2 linked regions of the Lonchura striata genome follow. The protein of the gene in region 1 purifies or fractionates together with the protein of each later gene. This does not show direct contact. Links are inferred from orthologs where the notes say so. Each region holds a gene or a part of one and is shown on either strand. Other genes may lie near its edges.

Region 1 (7,857 bases):
GGAGCATGTGAAGTTTTTTCTTTTTTCTGTTATCGTGACTTATTTATGTGTGTACATGTGGAAAAAAAGTAGTGATGTTTTTGCCTTATGTTCTCAGGAATCTTTCATCTCTTCAGAATTCTATCTTCCAAGAATCAAACACACCAGCTTCAGAGCGTATCTCTTCTGCTTCTCATGATCACATACAAAGAGAAGGTATTGACAGTATTTAAATGGTGCAGACTATTGCTATCATCTATTCCTTATGCCTAGTATTGAATTTGATGTCTCCTTTCTTTTGAGGAGAGCAGAAATCTATCAAGTAAAGATTTTAGTTTTTCTCTAGGTGTTGAACTTTTGCTATGTGGATGTTGCAAATAAAGAAATAATTGACTTTGTAGATCAGTTAAGAGCATCTATTATGAGAAATGGTAAGAAGATACTCAAAAGTACATACAGGCATCTGGAAAAATCCCTTGCTATGGAATTGATGAGCTATGTATTTAAGCTGCTGTTACAGTCACTGAGACAGCATTTCCTCTTGTGTTAAACACCACTGATGAATCAGTCATATGGTTCTGAAAATCTTCTGACTGCTTTCACTGCAGTGAGAATCCTGGATACCTGGTCTACATAACTAAACTTAGAGTATTACTGTTGTACTGAGACACACTTTTTTCTGTTTATGTATGTGTGGCATTTCTCCAGCTTAATTGTCATTAACTGGACATGTTGACATTTTGTCTTCCTCTTCCAGAACCCAGTGGTGAAGATACTCATGGGCCAGGATCTTCTGCATTTCTCACTAAGTTCACAGAATACCCGAGGTAATGAAGGTGAAGCTCTGACTTCACAAACACTATTTTAGACTGAGAACAGCTTAATTAGACACCTAGGAAAAAGCTCTGGCCTACAGATTTCATATAGTCACTAATTTAAGAGAGGCCTCCCTTCTTAAAGCAAACATGCTATGTTTTCACAAGATCTTGGTTTCTATTTGGGCACAAATCAAAAGGATGCAGAACTGGCAAGCCAAAGTTAATGAAGAGCTTGAGTTGAATGCTTCTAAAATTCTGTGGGTTTTTTTTCTAGAAAATCTCAGCATTCTTAGGATGATGATTTTACAAGCTAGCTATAAAGTAGTCTTAAAATACTGAGATTGGAGAGGTAAGTCAAAATGTTGAGTAGAATATGAAGTAATTTAAGTATTCATAGAAAACAAATAGAAGTTAGCCTACCCTGAATGGATGTGTCAGTGCACAGCTTTTATGTAGGTGTGTTCTCTTCTAGATGAGAGCACTGAACTCTTTACAAAAGGTCCCTTCATGGAAAGCATACACCCACAATTCAATAAGAGGTGTCAAGAAAAAGGAATGAGCTTCTTGCACAGCTCACTTCCCAAACACTGCTGATTCCTTTGGATCACGGGCTGTTGTCTCCAACAGTCTTTGCCTCAACAGGCAGCAATTTGCCTTTCACTGATACAAACCCTTGGCTTTACTGACCCTAAAGCAGCACCTGGTCTCCTCACAGGTACCCTCAAGGCAGCAGCATTGCAGGAGAACTCGTGAAAGGAGCTTTGTCAGTTGCTGCTTCTGCCTACAAAGCATTATTTGCTGGACCACCCATTATTGAACAGGTGAATGTCTTTCTGTGTGCTGTGTGAGTACCATAGAATGATAACCTTCAATTTACAGGTGTATGTTTTTTAAGTGTATCAATATTCTATATTGGAGTTAATGTAAGAGTAAAATGTTAAGTTTGATGGTGTCTCTTTGAGGTTTGCTTCTCTCAGCAGACTGGGAAATCCTTGCCCTAGGGATGAAAGCATGCCTCTTGTAGCATTATGTAAGAGTAATACCTCACTTTCATAAGTGAGCAGTGAAAGGGATTATAAATAGCTTAAATGGGGCCAGAAGAGCCTCTGTGCCTCAGTTTGATTCTAGTATAATGCAGGGCTGCTAGTTCAAATGGCAAAAAATAAATTAACTTTTTAAACTAACCTTACTCCCTTTTGTTTTCAGCAGCCTGCAGCTCCAGAAGAGCAGACTGCCTCTCTGCTGTCCAGTCTGTGTGAGATGGGATTCTGTGACAGGCAGTTAAACCTGCAGCTGCTGAAGAAACACAACAATAACATGATTGAAGTGGTGACTGAATTGCTTCAGATCAGTAACAGAGACTGGTGCAGTAGGTGCTAAAGCTGCCTGGTGGAGAGAGGAATATTCTTCATTGAGTAAACTCTGATTAAAGATAGCGAGAGTAGCAGGCTGCTCCTCAGCTGCTCTGTTTGGAGGTTTGACTTAAAGCTTCAGCTTTTCTTTGAGCATTTGACTTCTTTTTCTTTTTACCCTCATGGAAATGTCAAACAATCCTTGTGGCATCTCTTGAAATGGATACCAGAATTTCAGTTATGATTTGGACCTCTTAGTTAAATGAGTAGTCTTCAAATCTCTGATTTCAGATCAAATCCTTTTACCAGGTAATCATGTAGAATTAAATGTTGTACCCAGATGAGAACTTCCCATTTTATTGTGTATATACTTTTTATTTTAGGCAGCTGGAAATTTGTCGGCTTAATTAGCTTTGGAATAGAAACTGGTGTAAAATGCTGCTCTAAAATGTAGTCCTGCTTAATTTACAAGAGATGCCTGCAACTAGGAGGTTGTTTCTTCTGAGGATTTAGTAACTGGTTTTCCAATGTTTGATAGTAAAGTGACAAATTTAAATCTTAAAAATTATTCTAAGAAAAAGAAGTTGCTCATAAAAGAAAGCCATCTTGAATCATCAAATGACTTTTGAAAAGTCTAAAAGTGTAACTGCAGTTCAACTGATGAATTCCAGTAAAGTTGTTGCTTCTTGTAGCAGAATGAAGCAGGAGAATTACCACCAGCAATTGAACCTCTAATGATAGTGCACACCAGATCCCTAATAGTAGAAGTATAACCTACATAAAACATTTTGTTAAAAATGGAGTGTCAGGGTAGGAAAGCATTTTCTAGGAATCTTTACAGGCTCTTAGTAAAAATATAAAAAATTTGACCATTATCTTTTTTCACAATAGTGCAAACATTTTACTCTGTTAATACCACATTAAAAAAATGCAAGAATGTGTAGGAACCCAGACCTGAACTGGAGTACAAATTTTGGAAATGTTTAGGAATGGAAAGAATGGGTGAAGCAGGGATCACATAACTTTACATTAGAGTTTGAAAAATGCATTAACTTAAGCACTTTCAAATGTACAGTCTCCTCTGATGGTTTTAGCTGGTCCTGTGTTTCCATAGCCACATCTGTAGAATTCATTTTCTTATAAGATTTTTAGATACCCAGATTTAATTTGGAAATCTAAGAATTTCCTTCTAAATATGCTGAGAGATTTGATTCTAAAGAATGACATAAATGAGCACCAGCCACTGCTGTGCAGTGGGGTATCCAGATAACTCCTCAGAGTTCAGTCCCTCAGCAGGTGACAGTGTTGGCTATGTTCTTACTTTCGAGTAAACATTTTTTCCTTGCTGCAGTAAGAGACCATTGATTCTGAAGTATTTTATATTGCTCCTGCTTCAAACTAGTATTCCGTTTTGTCACAGTGTCAGTATTGTGCTGACCAGGTTATCAATAATTTTTAAAAAGACTTTAGTACCCATAGAGATAAAATGCCATTGAAATAGTTGAAGAAAACAAATGTATCATACCACTTCTGTTTTAAACCTATTTTTATAGATTGTGGAAGATATACTCTTAAATGTTTATTTTGAAATACAGTAGAAGTATTTTGCAGTGTTTCCCATCTCTCTGTACACCAGTACAACTATGTGCTGTGGACCAGTTAAAGATCCTTCTGTAACTTTCCACCTTCGGTGTGTTGTTTTGAGTATCTTTTTACTAATGCCAGCTGTAGAGCAAGGAGGAGGACGGACAGGGGTGAAATGCAGAAGCTGATGAGACTTTGAAGCACAGTGTGGTTTTATATTTGCTGGGGTCTGTCAGGCCCAGCAGGACCCACGTTTGCCATGTGTACCTTTGTATTTGGGATGTTCATATGTTCTATAAAGTACAAAACTAAAGCATTTGAAGTGGAGCACTTCACTGCAGATTGAAGTGGCAGGTGTGAGATGCTGTTCTCTTTAGGCTCCTTTTTCCTAGAGTTTAGATGCTGTATGCTCAGGCTTAAGATAGCTATATTTCTGTTGGCTTTGTATATTTTGCTAATGGATGCATGATATAATTTATAATATATTCTACAGAGCAGATGTGACCTCTGTGTCTCATTTCGGGCGAGCACAGGCGCTGGGGTGGGGTTCGTAGCCGAGCTCCTGCCGCGGGCGGCGGGCGCGGCAGCCCGGCCGCTCCTCGCCGCTGCCTGGGGCGCACTCAGCTCCTCGGGCCGGGGCTTCGGCCGTGCCCGGCGGGGTCGGGGACAGAAGCGGAGCCACAAGTCCCGGGCTGGCTCTCCCCCCGCCGTTCTGCTCCGTACCCGGCGTGCCCCGAACGCGACACTCGGGCTACCGCAGCTCGCCGGCCTTCGCTGGGGACGGAAGCGCCTTTCCGCTTTGGTTTAGGGAAAGCCTTTGCACGGCCGCGCCGATTCGCCCAGCAAGGCTCGGTGCCCAGCAAATCCCGCCCGCTGGCCCGGCACGGCTCGGTCTCATCATCCCGGCAGGGCCCGCTCCGCTGTCCCGGCCCCGCTTCCGGCCCGGCCCCGCTTCCGGCCCCGCTTCCGGCCCCGGTCCCGGCCCCACTTCCGGCCCCACTTCCGGCCCCGCCCCGCTGTCCCGGCCCCGCTTCCGGCCCCGCCCCGCTGTCCCGGCCCCGCTTCCGGCGCGTCCCGGAAGCGGCCGCGGCGGCCATGGCGGAGCTGGCGGCGGCCGAGGAGCTCGCCAAGCTCGAGTACCTGTCGCTGGTGTCCAAGGTCTGCACCGAGCTCGACAACCACCTGGGCATCAACGACAAGGACCTGGGTGAGCGGGGCGGGCGCGGCGAGCTCCGCGCACGGACAGGGCGGGCTTGCTCAGGGCCGCAGCAGCCCTTTCCGCGCGGCCGGGTGCGTTTTGTGAAGGTGCTTTTCGTTAAAAAACAGTATTTTTCTTAAAAAAAACCAAAACCTGTGAGCCTGAGGGAACGCTGCGATGTGGGCTGCCGGGGAGAGCCGAGGAGCAGCTCCCCGGGCCCGGATGGTCCCGCACCTCCAGAGCGGCTTCTGCCACACGTGCAGTCCTTACTCTGCTTTTTTACGTTCTTGCTTCAGTTTACTTTGTGCTTTTTCCTCACAGCCGAGTTTGTCATAAGTCTTGCCGAGAAAAATACCACGTTTGACACATTTAAAGCAATTCTTCTGAAGAATGGTGCTGAGTTCACTGTAAGTGGCGCCTGAACCTTGTTTATGTGTTATTCTTGTTGTGCCATATTTTATAGAGCTTTCCGATTTAAAGAGAGTTATGAGCAGTTACTATTGGTTTTCTTCAATTGGAAAACTGCATACTAAATAGCTTCTGATATTCCTGTCTCCTCTGCCTTCCCCTTCCTCGTATTTTTAAAAAATTTTGTAGTCTTTGAAAAGCCTCTTCCTGAGGACTCAAGCTGCTTATTGTTGTGTTGAGCATATAAAATACGGAAGAAACAACTTTTCATGAAGGCAGATATCATAAGTCTTCTTAGGATGCTTATATGCTGTATTTATTGATGTCTCAGGAATAATTGTGCTTGGATTGAATAGTTGATTAAAATTATTAACAGAAAAAGACAATTAGGATAATTTCATCTAAGTGACTTGAGTTCAACTTACGCCTTTTTAGGGCATACACAAAGCCCAGTGATAGTTTCTAAAAATCAACCTGCATCTTCAGAATTGAGCATATTTTGTTCTGCGAATAAACCCCCACTCGTGCCTTGTAATAATGAAAGTGTTGCAGTCATTTCCTGAAGTATTTTACTGATTTTTTTTCAGGATTCCCTCATCAGTAACTTGCTCCGTCTCATCCAGACGATGCGGCCTCCACCAAAACCATCCACGAGCAAAGGTAGGTGGGGTGAGACTGGTGCAGCTCCTGCTGTAGTCTTGTAAGGCAAATCCTCTTGCACCATGCTTGCTGCTGCTGTTATTCTGAGGGTGCTGCTCAGAGTGGTCAGTCTTTCAAATATTCACTAATAATCAGAATTTTCTCTGAAGGAAGGCAACACGGTATTCCTTGAATTGAATCTCTGTAAAAGCTGTATCAGCCTTTGCGTTCAGACAAAAATTAAACTTTATATTCAATTACAGAAAAACGAAGAGTGAATTGTTGTAGCAGTTCTGAGTTTTGTGTTTCATTGTGCTTTTTTTTTTCTTCTTTTTGAATCTCAAAATTAGAGGCAGTTGTCAAACCCAAATCCGAGAAAGAAAAGTTGAGGGAATTGTATCCAGCCCTTTGCAGGCCAGACAATCCCAACATCAGGGTAAGGTTGTAATTTCAGATTTCTTTTGTGACTGTGTGAAAACTTTTTTTTTTTTTCCCCCAGTCAGTTTCAACCTTTTTTCTCTGTCTAATGCATGAATAAATGTGAACTTTGAGAAATAAAATACGGAAGAGGTAGAAGGCTGGTGTTACTGCACATTGTTGCAAAGAATAGGTGTTAGCAATTGCCATGTTCATACTGTTTTGCAAAATATGTGGAGGATGAGACTCTTGTGGCATGAAATTTGTAGCCTGGCCTTCCTTACATAATGTTCAAAGTAATGATGTGTTGCAAACTAATTAAAAATGTTGTATATTCAGATGCTATGAGGGACTTGCATTTTGTATTTCTGTAACAATCTGAGGCATTGAGATGGAACTTTCTATTGTATAAAAGCAGAATTGTCTCAATATTTTGGCCATACAGGGAGAGTGCTTTATTATTTTCTTTCTTTATCACATATTGAGTCTGATCTTTTTTTATCTTGCATTCTTTCTAAATAGGTACACATATGATGATAATTCTGTAGATTAATTCTTTGTGACAATCTTTTTATCAGCCCTTTTGCAGAAAGGAGCATCAGTTTTTTGTTCTTGCAGAATATGCTGGATGAAGATGATGTGAAAGTGGCAGCTGATGCCCTGAAAGAACTGGAAGCTCTGATGCCCAGTGCTGACAGGCAGGACAAGCAGAGGGACAGCGACCATCGGTAGGAGTCTTGGGGAAGGGGGAAGGTCTTGGCTGCTCTCCTTGCCTGAGGTGAAATCCACTGCAGAGATCTAAATTTGGTTTGTTAGGGCGAAGAAAAGGAAGAGGAGCCGAAGTCGTAGCAGGGACAGGAAACGAAGGCACAGATCTCGCTCCAGGTCCCGTTCCAGGACTTGGGACAGGAACAGGGGAAAATCCAGGTACCGGTCGAGGAGCAGAAGTTGGAGTCCCAGTAAGGACCGCAGGGATCGGGAGAAGTACCTTGAAAAGAGCCATGAGAGGTGGAGAGACAAGCACATAGACCGGCCACCGGCTGAGGAGCCGTCCATCGGGGACATCTACAACGGCAAAGTCACAAGCATAATGCAGTTCGGGTGCTTTGTGCAGCTGGAAGGACTAAGGTACCCTTGGCTGTTTACTGCAGATCTGTTTCAGCTCAGGTCTCTTTTCTGCTGGTACCTTAAAGATGTGATGAAGCTACCAGCAGTTGTTCTGGGCTTTGAAGGGCTGTTTCAGGAAAGTGAGTTTAACAGTAGAGAATTAGAAAATTCTTGTTACTAAAACTAGTTTGTGGACATACACAATCTGTTGACAGCAACATATTTTAATGTAGTTTCTGAGTGATCTGAAGGGCTGTCAGAGCAGTAGTGTGCCCCTCTCATGCCCCTCTGTTTCACTCCTAGGAAGCGCTGGGAAGGCTTGGTGCACATCTCAGAGCTGCGAAGAGAAGGACGG
Region 2 (8,076 bases), on another chromosome or scaffold:
GAACTTCTGTCTGTGAGTTTCTGGCACAGCATTTCTCCCTCTGCATGCCTTATTGTTGCAACAACCCTTTCGAACAGTAACTTTCACACTTGATTTACTTTATTTGATCAAAGTATCATTAGAGCTGGTTACTCACTTCAAAGGCCTGTCATCCTGAGATGCATGAGTTTTGGGAGCCTCTGGTCCAATCAAACTATCAGCTTCAGTATTTTCTGCAACAATCAAATAATGAGGAAGATTAATCTTGTATCCATTATTCTTTGTTATCAGAAAGGTTATACAGGTCAGCAACACCTAACAACAAATTCACAAAAAGGACATCAAGAAGTTTCCATCCAAGTTTAAAGTCAGGTGAACTTACTTGATCTCTCTATCCAGAGATCATCCCCTTGAAGCATTTCATCATCGGAATCTTCGCTACTTGAATCACTGGATTCCCTCCTGCTCTTCTTAGATTTCTTTTTCTTATACTTCTTCCTGTGGTAAAGCCAGACAGACATGCTATTTATCAAAATTTAAGATTAAAGAAGGTGCTTGGAATCATACTCAAATAATTAGTTTCTCAAGGCAACTTCCACCTATAGGAAGAATGCTGTCCGCTGTTTCATACAAAACACTTTACACCAAAGCCAAGACAATATATATGTTCTATTTTAACTTTCATAGAGTGTTAGAAAGTGGCTATACAGAAAGTTGTTTATGCTGCACAATTGTGTAGATTTAAATAAAAACTATCAAAATAATATTATTTGCCAGCTCTTGCAAATGACCTAAGGTCCTCAGGCTCCCTGAGGGCCTGCAAAGAAAACTGAGCTGCCCTCCAGGCAACAGCAGCCAAAATGATACAGCAACCACAACACTTACTTTTTGTTCTTCTTTTTCTTCTTCTTGCTTTTCTTTTTATCTTCATCTGAAAAAAGAAAGTGTATGTATTATCAAAAATAAATTATTAATTATAACTAAGTAGTTTACTGCCCTGTGAATAACACGGCATACCTTTTACATCCCCAGTATTCACAGAGCTGTAGGCTCTTTGACTCTCTCAACTCTAGCCCTAAGCCTAACCCCATCACCAGGGGTGGTGGTCAAGATCAGAAAGATGTAGGAGCAGCACAGTTGGGGCTTTGCTGGGATCACCTTGGAATGCCTTTTCCAGTCCCAATGTTCCTGTGACTCGCTCAACCCTAACCCTAAGCCCTAGCCCTAACCCAAACTCAATAATATGGGTTTTCCAGGTCAGAATGATGTAGGAAAAGCAATGTTGGGGCCTTGCTGGGATTGCCTTGGCATGCTTTTTCCAGTCTCAGTACTCCTGGAGCTATAGGCTCTTTCACTCTCTCAGCCCTAAGCTTAACCACTCCCCTAACCCTACTGCTAAGAATTATACTAACCACTACCCCTACCAATTAACCAAACCACTACCCTAAACCTGAGCCTATTCCCAGCACTAACTGCCTCCTCCAGCATGCCCTAGTACACATCCTGATGGGACTTGTTTATACTGGGAAAGTGTTAGGAGAAAGGTCCCTGCAGTACTGGTCGATATGAGAACATATCAAAGAGATCTCTGGCATGAGAGGCCCAGTGGATGCTAAATTCAGAAATCCAATTTCCTGAGGCTACACTGCAAGCTGAGACCCTCTTGTCTTACCACTGGAGTTCTGTTCAGACTCTGAGTCACTGTCGCTGTCCTCAGAATGTTTCCTGCGCTTTCTTTTGGATGCTTTACGTTTTTTCTTTTGTTTTTGCTTCTTCTTTTTCTTCTTTTCCTCTGGAATGTTTTTAAACATAACATTAGAGAACAAAGAACACTTGGTTCCATATGTATTCCCTGATCTTCCCAAAGCAATGCTCTCCTTTGGGCTGGAGCCCACCCCAACCACTCCCACCCATCTAAGCCAGGGAACCTCCTGCAAGCAGCAGCAGATTCTAAGCCACAGTAGCTTCCCATTTTTGAAAAAGCTGTGCAAGCCAGACAAAATACCTTCTGAGCTGGAATCCGAAGAACTACTCTTAGATTTTGCCTCTTCATCTTCTACTGGCGTGTGCTCATCGGAACTGAATAAAATAACAGTTTGCTACTTAAAATCTGTTTTGTTGTACTCAAGATCAAAGGTATACAAATGATCAAAGACATTTTGAATCAATCCCTGCAAAGGAGTAAAATATCAAAGATATTATAAAAATAATTTAGCCTGGGAACTGCTGTCAGAACCACAACACAACAATCACCTGATCTACAATAAATAATGTATTGCATAATTGGTATGTTGGAATTATTTGGTTGAAAAAATAGCAATCTCATTATGCTGCTTCAGAAAGGAAGTGACACAGTAAGTACTGTGGCACCAAGACTAATGCAGGGATAAAGAATTTTTATAAACTGAACTGATATGTAATTAATATTATAAAAAACATGAAGAAAGACTATGCCTTACTCTGGGTCAGGAACTTTTGGTGACAGCCCCCAGACTTCAGGCGCCCCCAGTTCTCCAATTCTCTCTCTCTCATTGAGTCTCCTGTAAAGGAAAACACTGACACTGACGCCTAGTTTGCAACACCCAGCACACAAACATTTTAAGTCTTACGCGTTAGTGTTTCCGAAGCAGCTACAGGAAGGGTAAGAAACAACTCGGAGCAAGGAGCAGGGGCAGGGGCAGTCAGGCAGCAGAGCTCCGCACACCGCAGAGGCTCGGCGGTAGCAGCTGTCACCCCGTTCCAGCCGAGCTCCGTCCCGGCTGCCCCGGGGAACGCACGGGGAGCCCGTGAGGGACCGTACAGAACCGGGCCCGGCCGCGGCACCCGCCCCTCCCGCGCGGAGCGGGGCCCGGCGGGGCAGCCCCGGCCCCTCGCCGGCGCTCACCTCTGCCGCAGGATCTCCTCCTTCTCCTTCTCGTAGTACTCGGGCCATTTGCCGTGGTGGTGGTGCCCGTGGTGCGCGGAAGAGCGCGGCGCGCCGGGGCTGCGGGACCGGCTGCGGCTCCGCCGGTGGCTCGGGCGCCTGGGGCCATTGCGCTCGCGGGAGCGGGAGCGCGAGCGGCGGCCGCGGCGCTCGGAGCCGGCGGCGGGCGGGGAGCGGGAGCGGGACGCGGGCGCCATGGCGGAAGCGGAGGCGCTTCCGGCGCTTCCGGTGCCCTCCCGGCCGGGCGGGAGCGGGGCGGGAGCGGGGCGGGAGCGGGGCGGCCCCGCCCGCGGGGTCACCGCCCCACCCGCCCGGCCGGCAACGCGGCGGCGGCGGCGGCGGCGGCGGCTCCTTTTGTGCCCCGCGGCGGCCGCCCGGCAGCGATGGACGCGCGCACGGCGGCCGAAGGTGAGGCGCGGACGGGGCGCGGGGCGCGGGCGGGGGGCGGTGGCGGCCCGGGCCCGGCTCCGCCCCGCTCCGCGGGCACCGGCGCGGGGCCGCGGCCCCGGGAGCTGTCCAGGGCGGCCCGGGAGCAGCACTGCCCCGCGGACAGCTCAGCGTGCCCCGGCGGGGCTCCCGTTCGTGGCCGGGCCCGGCGCCGCCTGGCACGGCCCGGCCCGGGCGAGGCCCGGCCCCGTGTTCGGGGCCGGCACCTCCCCGCGGCCTGACACGGCGCTGCCGGTGCGGCCGCTCAGGGCAGAACTGACAGCACGGGGGAAACGGCCCCAGCTTGCGTCGGGGCAGCTTTAGGGTGCGTATTAGGATTTTTATTTTCATGGGAAAGGTTATCAAGCACAGGAATAAGCTGCACAGCGAAGTGGTGCAGTCACTGTCCCCGGAAATATTAAAAAACCATGTGGAGATGGCACTTACGGACATGGTGTAATGGTGAACGTGGTGCTGGCGCTGGGTTCAGGTTGGACTTGATGATCTTAAGTCTTTCCCAGCCTTAACCTTTATCCATAAAGATGATACAAATTATATATTCAGATAAGACATCCACTCTTCTGTGAGCGCCCTTCCCCCTCAGGTTTGACCACGTTACCACGGAGCTTTCTTAAATAAACCCCGAGTTTCTGCTCAGCTCTGGAAATGCAGTGCGATATCGCTGGGTCTGGCCAGCTCCGTGTAAACGGGGCATTTTGGACAGCTGCTACACCCTGGGAAGCCCATGCTGGTTTATGCTGTCTAGAAATTATGTCAGGGTATGCCAGTCTCTTTTTCACAAATGGAGCAGTATTTTAGCTCCTAAACCTACCATAAACAGCATTTAAAAAACCCTGTAAGATGGAGGAAGCCTATTTAAACTGTGTATTTATTTGGGTACACGGAACCATGTGCAGTAGAGGGAGGGAAAAGATTTACCAGAAATTCCCACTACTGTCACCTGTGTCTGTGTGAGGACAGCGTATATTCTCCCTTCTTTTGATTATTTCGGCAAACTAATTTTGGATTATTTTAGATCTGATTAAATGATGCCTAAAACATCTGCCTCAGGAGCAATCTGCACTTGTGTTACCTAATACCATTAGGTGACTTGAAGTGCTTTTGTAAACAAGTCATAATGTCATGCGGTACATAACAGCATCTACAACAACTACTAATGTCAATAAAAAGATTACTGGACTCTTAATTCAGATATATGAAGCTTTATATAATGGGATTGGCAGGAGAAATAGTCTCAGAGATTCCTTCAAGGCATAAACAGTGAAAATTTGTATTTTAGAGTCTTTCAGAAGCAGTGATTTTTTATTTGAATTCCCACAGTGAAGAATATTTCTGTCCTTAAAGGTACTCTTAGGTAGGATAACTATTGAATTTCAATTTTTATTGAAAACCCTTAACTGTTCTGCTTATAAAATTTAATTTACTTTAATGTAAAATACTTGTTTTCATGAAGGAGAATGTTACTTTGTCTTTCAAATTTGTCAGTTCTTTAAAAGAATTTTCTATTCTCGCAAAGTGGATTTTTTAAAAACAAAAAAGCTTCTCAAGTTGCTTAATTGAAAACTCGTTACTGAATTACATACTGTTTTGTCGTCTTGTAAAGGCCTGCACATAAATTTCTTTAAATTTGTACTTCATATTTTCAGAGCCTCCACCCCAAAGTTTTTTTGATCACTTCTATACATTAAGATAAAAGTTGCTATTGGGTCTCTTACATTTTCAGTTCCAAGACAACCACATGTAGTTCTATATCCTGGATGTTTCTTATCTTAGATAAAATGGTTCTTTTATATTGTTATTGATATTGTAAGGCTTTATGTGACTTGAACCATCAAACACTTTCGACGCTTATCTGAACATAAAAGTGGAAAGAACAACCCCTAAAATAGGAGATGCATGCTGACAAAAAAAAATGCACACCGAAATTCAGCTTTTAGGTGCAGCAAGATGGTGGCAGCTTCAGTCAAATTGGCTGAGCTGGGGAGAGCATTAACTCTGTCCTGACTGCAGCAGTGTGACCGTGGGGTTCAGATTTTTTATCTGACAGAAGGACTTGCCATAGAGAAAAGCTGCTGTGAGAAAGGTAAAAGTCAAGGAGATGGTGCAGCTCTCCCAGCAGCTTTTAAATCAGGCAGCATTTCAGTGCCTAAGAATAAGTGGTTTAAACCTGATTTTTGAGATCTGGTGATGCCTTAGGAGCAGGAATCCTTCCAAGTGCTCATCTGTGGCTGTAAATTTTCCTGCTAGCTATTTAGTATTGGATGAGGTATTGAGAATAGAAATCCTTAAAGCTGGAGGATGCAAGGCTAAAAAATTGTTTAATTTGGGCCATCACACATTTTTGGAGGAGAAAAAAAGCACTGGATTAAGTATTTAAACAATTATAGTATTATTTTCATTTAATATAGCCTCATGGGTAAAAATTACGAAGAACCTCTATCAAAGGAGAAAAGAATTGAAGGATCATGTGAGGAAGAAAAGCCTATGTTTTTCCTGATGAGTGTTTTCTAATATTTATCCTCATGCAATTGACTCTCTAGTAAAACCTATAAATAAACAGAAACTGGTTTTGTAACATTTAAAATCTGAAGCCTCAATTCAGAAAGGCATTTGTGTTACTAGCTATACAGATACAAGGAGCCTGGCAGGTGATTTTCTTGCTAGAAGAAAGATTATTCTTGCTAGAAGAAATTGTTATTTGTTTCTTGTTCATAAACCTGGCAGGACCATTTCATTGCTGATTTACAAGGTGAAGGATTGCAGTCATGTCTGCCAGTGACTGTGGCCTGTTACGTTTGTCATCGAACTTGACAGGACATTCGTTCTTGTCAAAGTTTTTAAATCTTAAGGAAAATCAGGAGCCCCTGTGGTTCAAGTCCACAGAATGCATAGAGGGGAAAAAAAAGGAACAGACGAGTAACCACAGATAAAAAGTATCTTTTATGATCTCGGTGTTCTTCGAGCATTCCTGAACAGCAACAGCTTCCCAGAGGCCGTGCTGTGGATGTGTCACTCCAGTGGCCACACGGCTAATGTGCCGAGAGTCGCATTTGGTCAAAGGCACTCTGTGCCAAAGCCGTACATGTCCGTGCGGCTGCTGGCAGAGTCTAACACGTGTGCCTGTGGCGCAAAGAATTCCAAAGAAATGCTCCCGCAGCAGCAGCAAGGGTGCTCAGGTGTGGGTTTGAGCTCCGCTCGGTGCTGGGCGGAGGTGCCGGCTGCGTCAGCGTTGGCAGAGCAGCGCCAATGGCCCCGGGAAGGAAACGAGACCCAGCGGCAAACAGCGTCCGCACGGCCTCATCCCGCGCTCGGCCGTGAGGCAGCGCCGGGGCTCGCTGCCGCCTCCGCCCGGGAACGGAGCGCGGGGAGCCGGCCGGGAGCTGCCAGGGCCGCAGCAGGGCCGGCCTGCGCCGAGGCAGGGTCAGGGCCTCGCTCCTCGGGGCGCGACGCGGGCGGTGTGTCCGAGCCGCGGCCCCGGGGCCGCCGGCGGCGCGGGGCGGGGCGGGGCGGCGCGGCGGGAGCGGCCCGGCCCCGCCCCGGCGAAGGTTCCCGAGGCCGCTCGGGTCAGAGCCGAGGGCAGCGCCGGCAGCGCCCCCCGGCGGCGGCGCGGCGCGGCGGGCGCGGGGCCGGAGCGCGGCGCAGGTAACGCGGGGAGCGCGGGCTCGGCGGCTCGGCTGCCCTCCCGCCCGGCCGGGGGCTCGGCACGGCTCCGCCGGCGGCGGCGGCGGCGGGGCCGCCCGCCAGCCCGGGCCCGGTGCTGCCAGGCCGCTCCCGGGCCCGCCGCTGTCAGCGCGCCGCTCCCGCTCGGCCTCCGGCCGCGGACCGGCCGCTGCTGCCTCGGCGGCCCCGCCCGCAGCGCGGTTCTCACGGCCGGGCCCGGGGTCGGGGGGAGCCGGCCAGGACGCGCCCCCGGGCTGGGACTCATCCGGCCGCGACTCCGGCCGCGGCGTCTCATCCGGCCCGGCCCGGCCCGGCCCGGCCTGGCCTGCGGAAATAAGTTTTACGGGTAAAATTAGAGCCCGTGACTCGCTGTACTGCATTTGGATGTTGCTTTTTTCCGGTTATTGGGGGGCTTTGAATGGGCAGTGCTGACGGATAGGTTACTTTGACTTAGCAGGTCTGCTTCGCTACGGTGCTGCTTCCGAGTCTCGGTTTGAAATACAAAGCCTTGCAAATATGTGACATGGGGTTAAAAAAAGTTTATTTTTCTGGGGAAGTAAGTGCACTATCCATAGCGTTTTCATTAACTCAGTTGATTGGTAATACGTCGACACACAGATTCTGGTGTCTGGCCATAAATAACTTCATGATATTTGGCTTTCTCATAACAACCTATGGAATATTTCACAATTAAAAATAAATTACTAATAATGTTTAAAGCTGTTTTTGGGACCCAAAACTTACATTTTCTTGGTTTTATAATTAAACTTACTTGCTGTTGCTTAAGAGGAGGTGTTGTTTCTCTTTTCCTCACCTTGTAAGAACCTTGGTAAGAACAGAGGATATATTCAGAATTCCACGTAACCTTATGGAGAAGAGGAAAGGACAAACAACAATAGGAAACAAATTTGCAGAGTGCAGGAGCACATGATCTTCTGAACAGTATCTCAGATTTGTTTTTTCCTAAAGAAGGAGTAGCCAGTAAATATGTGAATGTTGTCATGCTGTTAAAACTGTGTATCTGCATTTTTACTAATTTGATATCTTTTGCTTTCCCTTTTTAGGAA

Evidence for each region. Proteins that work in one complex are often made in the same cells at the same time.
Region 2: the proteins of DHX8 (region 1) and NKAP purify together in Homo sapiens (co-immunoprecipitation; 3 studies listed by BioGRID and IntAct, with this or other methods). This does not show direct contact. The link is inferred for Lonchura striata from reciprocal best matches to the Homo sapiens genes DHX8 and NKAP.

The regions. Positions count from the first base shown.
Region 1 is NC_134627.1:6,042,292-6,050,148, reverse strand, and holds the start of DHX8 (ATP-dependent RNA helicase DHX8), read left to right. Parts: upstream 1-4,781; 5' UTR 4,782-4,828; coding exon 4,829-4,940; intron 4,941-5,252; coding exon 5,253-5,338; intron 5,339-5,926; coding exon 5,927-5,999; intron 6,000-6,328; coding exon 6,329-6,414; intron 6,415-7,013; coding exon 7,014-7,123; intron 7,124-7,211; coding exon 7,212-7,523; intron 7,524-7,805; coding exon 7,806-7,857. Other genes in the region: NBR1 (next to BRCA1 gene 1 protein), read left to right, coding at 98-195, 737-806, 1,513-1,618, 2,004-2,177.
Region 2 is NC_134616.1:9,031,550-9,039,625, forward strand, and holds the start of NKAP (NF-kappa-B-activating protein), read right to left. Parts: upstream 3,100-8,076; coding exon 2,864-3,099; intron 2,520-2,863; coding exon 2,439-2,519; intron 2,059-2,438; coding exon 1,985-2,058; intron 1,772-1,984; coding exon 1,652-1,771; intron 911-1,651; coding exon 865-910; intron 478-864; coding exon 362-477; intron 213-361; coding exon 137-212; intron 1-136. Other genes in the region: ZBTB33 (transcriptional regulator Kaiso), read left to right, coding at 3,286-3,310, 8,074-8,076. UniProt on the Homo sapiens protein: Acts as a transcriptional repressor. Plays a role as a transcriptional corepressor of the Notch-mediated signaling required for T-cell development. Also involved in the TNF and IL-1 induced NF-kappa-B activation.